2 linked regions of the Xenopus tropicalis genome follow. The protein of the gene in region 1 interacts with the protein of each later gene in a biochemical or structural test. Links are inferred from orthologs where the notes say so. Each region holds a gene or a part of one and is shown in the gene's direction. Other genes may lie near its edges.

Evidence for each region. The genes of interacting proteins can lie anywhere in the genome.
Region 2: of the proteins of khdrbs1 (region 1) and yes1, one has a biochemical effect on the other in vitro, tested with the Homo sapiens proteins (2 studies listed by BioGRID, with this or other methods). The link is inferred for Xenopus tropicalis from reciprocal best matches to the Homo sapiens genes KHDRBS1 and YES1.

The regions. Positions count from the first base shown.
Region 1 is NC_030678.2:86,525,334-86,528,411, forward strand, and holds part of khdrbs1 (KH domain-containing, RNA-binding, signal transduction-associated protein 1), read left to right. Parts: coding exon 1-47; intron 48-814; coding exon 815-931; intron 932-1,548; coding exon 1,549-1,695; intron 1,696-2,184; coding exon 2,185-2,357; intron 2,358-2,689; coding exon 2,690-2,885; intron 2,886-3,078. UniProt on the Homo sapiens protein: Recruited and tyrosine phosphorylated by several receptor systems, for example the T-cell, leptin and insulin receptors. Once phosphorylated, functions as an adapter protein in signal transduction cascades by binding to SH2 and SH3 domain-containing proteins.
Region 2 is NC_030682.2:108,007,956-108,011,613, forward strand, and holds part of yes1 (tyrosine-protein kinase Yes), read left to right. Parts: intron 1-229; coding exon 230-409; intron 410-516; coding exon 517-593; intron 594-687; coding exon 688-841; intron 842-1,241; coding exon 1,242-1,373; intron 1,374-2,567; coding exon 2,568-2,776; 3' UTR 2,777-3,658. UniProt on the Homo sapiens protein: Non-receptor protein tyrosine kinase that is involved in the regulation of cell growth and survival, apoptosis, cell-cell adhesion, cytoskeleton remodeling, and differentiation.

The DNA.
Region 1 (3,078 bases):
TGAAGTTAAAAGAGCGCATTTTGATACCAGTCAAGCTGTATCCCAAGGTAAGATTCTTTAGGAAACAATTGTAAAGCTTACATGAGAAGGTTGCCGCAACATACATTAAAGATTCCTGACCTGAACAAATCAACCAGTCACTCCAGTCTGATAACACTGTTGGGCTACATTCTACCACATGGCACCTTTGAACTAATTACATGTAAAGCCATTGAGGAAACTGTAGGGAAACTTTGCAATAAGTCTTTTTGCAGCAACTGGCTTAAAGATTGTTATGCAATGGTTGATCTTCAGTGGTCTGATGGCGTGTCGACCCTACACAGGGATGGCTCTGTTTTGTTGCTTTTTTGCAGCTTCGCTAAATGCCTTTATGTGCCGATGTGCTAAAATCAACCTGAAACAAACCTTCCAAGCAGATGGTTTGGGCAGAGTAGTCAAAATTGGGTTACGCTACTTGAGCATGTATAGCCAACTTAGGTCATCTTACATAGCTTCCTACCAGTCCACATAGGGACTGCAAATGGCCAATCACAGTCCATATTTGGTACCCCAGGTTCTTTTTGAATACTTGTGTTGATCTATAACAAGTTTTTAGATTGGAATTGTGGCTCAAGGATAAAAAAAATCTGGGGACCGTCGCTTTAGCTGTAACTTGTCTTTGTTGCTTTTAAGATTCTTCACTCACCCCATATGTGATTTAAAAAGCAAATTATTATGATTGCGAGTTAATAAATAACTTATATGTAAGTGAAGTGTGTAACTTGGGAAGTGTAAAGAAGCCTTTTGTAATCATCATTTTTACCCAATTTTGTAGTTTAACTTTGTTGGAAAGATCCTTGGACCACAGGGAAACACCATCAAAAGGTTACAGGAGGAGACTGGAGCAAAAATCTCTGTTCTTGGCAAGGGATCAATGAGAGATAAGGCAAAGGTAAGGGCTAAATTATTTATTTTTCCTGTTAAAGTGGACCTGTACTTTTCAAATTAAACATGAAACCCAAATTCATTTCTATATTAACACATTCAAACCCATTATAAAGGCATTAAAAAAGCTATCAATCAAATATTTCCTGCCCCGCCTTTATGCCTTAAGCATAGAGGCGGGGCAGACAAGTACTTAAACTTTCAATTCAGCTCTCACTTTTCCCCTCCCTCCTAACCATCTAATTGTGTAGCTAGTGCATGGGCATCTGGTCCCTCATTCTGGCACATACACAAAATTTTGGGGTGATACAAAGCAATTTGCAGTTGGTTTTCATTTTATATATATATAATTTTTTTTTTTTTAGTTCACGTTCAGCTGCTCTCCTGTTTTGTTTTTTTTATTTTTTTCAGTAAATTTTCAGTGGCTTTTATCAGCTATTTGTTTGCTGGGGTCCAAATTATCTTGGCAGCCAGGGAGTAATTTGAATGAGGGACTAATATATGGATAGGAAAGAGCATGAATAGAAAAGTTGTAAAAAGTAACAATAAAATTGTAGCCTCACAGACCAATAGTGTAATGTGTAAAAGGAAAACCCATAGTAATAATCATGTCATTGATTTCAGGAAGAAGAGCTGCGGAAAGGAGGGGACCCCAAATACAGCCATCTGAATATGGACCTTCATGTGTTCATAGAGGTCTTTGGACCACCATGTGAATCTTATACACGTATGGCACATGCAATGGAAGAAGTCAAGAAGTTCTTGGTTCCGGTATGTGTAATCAATTTTTTTTTGTAATGTAATTTGCTGTAAAAATATCCTAATCAAGTATTAGTTAAGTAAGTACTGAATAAAGTCAAAGGATTTTTTCTATAACTTTACTGTAAACTTTTAGGAATTGGCCAAAAGCAAAATGTGTGTAGTTTTTTTGCTGCTGTTTAAACAAGCACTGAAATTATTATAGATTTAGGAGAAAAGTCCACACTTTTTTGACTTCTGAAAAGTTTGTCTTCCGCTGGACCTTTTAAATTAGCTTATTGTAACCATATAGTGATAGTAAAGTTGTTGGCTCATTTTTCATTTTTATGTTATAAATGTAAAGAAGTAAACTGATGTCAATGGATGTGTGGTTAGGTGTTGATGGCTGTAATTAGAATATTGCATAGCAGGTAGAACACTAACTAACTTTTTTTTTTTTTGTTAATCTTCAAAACTACTCAGCAGCAAAGTCCTGAGTAAACAGTTTTCTTATTCTTTTAGCTGACACCTGAGTCTTTTTCATACCAGGACATGATGGATGATATCTGTCAGGAACAGTTTATGGAGCTATCTTATCTTAATGGAGCACCACCAGAGCAAAGCAGAGGTGGAACAAGAGGTGGACCATCCAGGGGCAGAGGGGGTCCACCACCTGCTGCAGCTCCTTCTTCTAGGTAATCTCTAAGGCAGCTAGCTGCTATGTTACTCCTTGCAGGAATCAAACTGTCAAACAAAACTAAAAATTGTTTAACCTGGGTCAGCCTCCAACCGAACTCTCACCTTTCCTTTTAGCATTCTTCAGTACTGTATAACCCTAGCTTTTCAAGCATTGCCAGTTGTGATATTCTGACTTACATTTGCTAAGGGTTACAGCAGAAGCTTTGCAAGTTTGTTACTTTTTGGTGTCACTCCCCCCTGTCAGCCCTTTTTCCCCCTTTAAGGTAAACTTTTGTATGCAAGATGTTCAGGGTTTTGGATGAGACTATGTACAAATTTATATTAACAGAGGCAGGGCTGGGCCTCTTCGCCCTCTTGTTCCAAGAGGTGCCCCCGGACGTGGAGCCATATCGCGTGGTGCTAGTGTGAGCCGCCCTGTACCCCCTTCCTCTGCTAGCCGAGGTGCACCCGCTGGAAGAGCCCGTGGTGCTGCTATCCAGAGAATCTCTCTTCCACCTCCTGCACCTGAAACATATGATGAATATGTAAGTGTCCTACAACATTTTTATTATTTAGTTTTGAGGACCTAGTCTATGTATGGGTTTGCAGACTGCTGTTGTCATTGAATACTGGAATGTTAAACAATACTCCTAATAACTTTACAAATGTTAACCTCCTAGGTCACTGCTGTCCTACTTCTGTGGTACCAAAGGCTGGAATTTTTCTGGGCTAAATTGT
Region 2 (3,658 bases), on another chromosome or scaffold:
GCTAGGTATATAATGTGTATAATATGTAATAGCCTGTATCCTTTCAATTATAAACTGCATTCTTTGTAGATACTATACATACTAAGTACCCATTATAATAACACGGAAGGCCATCCTTTCAGAAGTATTTATTTATTCATTTATATTTCTAAGCTTAGTGAGCTATGCATTTTGTTTGTGTGTGTGTTTGTTTGTTTAGAATAGTTATGCAAAGTTTTATTTTATTTAGGAACTTGGAATGGAACAACAAAAGTAGCAATCAAAACACTAAAACCAGGGACAATGATGCCTGAAGCTTTCTTGCAAGAAGCACAAATCATGAAAAAACTCAGGCATGACAAATTGGTCCCCCTTTACGCTGTTGTTTCAGAAGAGCCAATCTACATAGTCACTGAATACATGACAAAGGGTATGTGTGTCTGACAACCTGTCTGCTCTTTGGCACAAAGACTATAACAATATCTCTAGAGTTATTCAAACAAAGTGGGGAATGAAACTTTTATTCTGTCTGTACAGGTAGTCTGCTGGACTTTCTTAAAGAAGGTGATGGAAAGTATTTAAAACTGCCACAACTCGTTGACATGGCTGCACAGGTAATCCAGCCATTTGCATTGGTCCATTAGGTCTGCTGCAACACCTTTGGCATTGGTTGCATACTAATGGTGTTCAATTTTGTGTTTGCTTTAGATTGCAGATGGCATGGCTTATATTGAAAGGATGAATTATATTCACAGAGACCTCAGGGCTGCTAATATTCTTGTTGGAGACAATCTTGTATGTAAAATTGCTGACTTTGGTTTGGCAAGATTAATAGAAGACAATGAATACACTGCAAGGCAAGGTATGATTTGTCACGTTCCCTCTTAAAGTGTGTGACTGCTATGGTAACTTTCAGTTATGTTGTGTATGTATGTGTATATGTCAAAAGAAAACTTAAAACTTAATACAATGCACTGTTCTGATGCTTTGAGAAGATTTGAGATCTAAGGGAATGAAGTAGAGAGGTTGGCAGTATCCTATATCTCCTAACATTTCTGATTTGAAAGATGGGCCATTTTGACCACACCCAACCCTTTCATAAGTCCTTCCCTTTTGTGGTCCCTAATGAAAACATTCCAGTGAAGAATAGTTTGCCGGCAAGGTTAGAGTTAATAGTGGTGAAATGTCAACTGGCTGTAGTTTTTATTAATTGTAAACATTGCCTTTACAATAATCCAAATTATATGTTTTCTGTATTTTAGGAGCAAAATTTCCAATCAAATGGACTGCACCTGAGGCTGCTTTATATGGTCGATTCACCATTAAATCCGATGTGTGGTCATTTGGAATCCTCCTAACTGAGTTGGTCACCAAAGGGAGAGTTCCTTATCCTGGTATAAGGGGGTTTCTTTATTATAAATGTCATTTGTATACCCACCATTTATTCATTTGTATACTTTGCTTTCCACAAGGCTAGTACCAGAACAGACTAAAGAAAAGGGCATAAGCATGTCTTTGGTTTGTTTCATTTGGGCTTGTTTGACTCAGTTGAGTTGGTGATGCTCATTGCTTGCTTCAAAGTACCACCTTCTTAGCATGATGTTGAAACCTGGGGTTTCACATTTCCAGAACTCTTAGCACCTTATTTAGCTGAGCAGAGACTGCCTAAGCTACCAAAGTATCTTGGGATAAAGGACTGTTGGTAACGTTTGTTGCCTGTAAGGCTCTAAGTATGGCTAAGGCACATCATAAGCAGTCACAGTAAGTACTAGTAACCTACAGCATGTAGCATGAGTGGGTCACTGCATGATGAAAACAACTAGAAAAATAAAATATATTTAAAAAAAAAAAAAAAAAAATACATACATATGCCAAACCCTGTGAGAAAATGCAACAGCAAAATGTAAAAACAGAAAAAAGGAGCTAGTGCCATAGGGAAAAACATGAAATATAAAATTAATATGGTAATAGTACGAGGCAAGACAGACAGAAAAAAACAGAAAACCCAGCTCAATTATGGACAGAAGGAAATAAACATATTTACATTTTAATTCTCCTCTCGTTCAACACAAAGGTCAGTGTTCCCATGAAGGGATTATTGTACATAAGTAGTTAAGGCATTTTATTCAAAATTAAGTATCCATGCATGTTCATTTGGGCTTTACGCAATATACAGTGGTTAGAGAACGAGTGGCACAAGCTTTCATTTTTTTGAGAGTCTGAGCATGTTATTTAACTCCATGAGATGGAAGTAGCCTGCTATGAGTCTTTTGAAGGAGATATTAAGAAACAAGGGCTATAAAAAATAGAAGCTTGGGTGGAGAGTTAAGATGGGGAGGTATTTTGGAATGAGAAAACTGACAAAGGGGAAGGCATTTAAGTTAGAATGAGATGGAGATTGGGTTTTGGGCCTGACAAACTATTGCGGGAATCAAGGTGGAATATTGTATAAGGAGTGTTTCGAGAATTGTTCCATATATAGGGCTAAGATGATTTAGATATATTTCAGATTTGGTAGAAAATCATCTCTTGGTGATCATTAATTTTTTTCTGTATTTTAGAACTGACTGTTTTTAATATGTTTTCAGGCATGGTAAACCGGGAAGTTTTGGAGCAGGTAGAGCGGGGCTACAGAATGCCTTGCCCTCAGGGCTGCCCAGAATCTCTTCACGAGTTGATGAAGCTGTGCTGGAAGAAGGACCCTGATGAAAGACCAACCTTTGAATATATTCAGTCATTTTTAGAAGACTACTTTACTGCAACAGAGCCACAGTACCAGCCTGGGGACAATCTATAAGTGTAAAAACTAAGCAAGAAAAGTGAAATGTCCAAATCTGCCAAAAGTATAGAGAGACTTTCTTAACACTAACTCTTGCTAATGGGAAATGGAAAAAGAACATTCAGTATATCTTTGCATGTCAATGGCAAACTGGAAGGCCAGAACACCATTGCACAAGACCACTTTCAAAGTATTGTAATCTAATGGACTATGTAATTGGTAAAAAACATAAAAGAATTAACGGCTATCCCACATTTCTGATCTCTGAGGAAATGTTTCAGGATTACAGGCAGAATAACAGTGGGACCAAACATTTCATTCCTGTATAATACATCTTTGCCAATGATGGCATAGAACAATGTATCTACTGTCTTCTGAACATAGAGACAGTCCCTTAGGCAATTAAGCATTAGGGATTATTATACTGCTATTGGTCACTAAGCTGATCAAGGTCTATAAAAAAAATCTTAGAAATGAATGGTGGTAATTGACATACAGATAATATCCATTTCAATTAATATAACTGAATATCTTATTTTTTCGCATTATGCAGTTTGAAGTTCAAGTTTGGGATCTGTTATCATAGAAACCTTTTATCCCGATTGCTCAGAAATCAAGCAGTGCCATTCCTTGCAGTCTATTGCTTAAATCATCCATATCTTCATATCTTTATTCTTGTTGGATTGGTTGTTCCTCTGTAATATTAAGACAATCCCTTTCAATTGCTGGTAACTCCATGTTTGCAAAAAGAAAAAAATCAGTAGTATTGGGTTTTTGAAAAATGACGGAATTATGGAACATCTCTATATAGAAGACCCTGGGTCCTAAGCGTTTTAGACAATAGAATCCCATAACCTTCAAAAAAAGTGTTTTCATTTTTATTATACAGAGGAATAACAC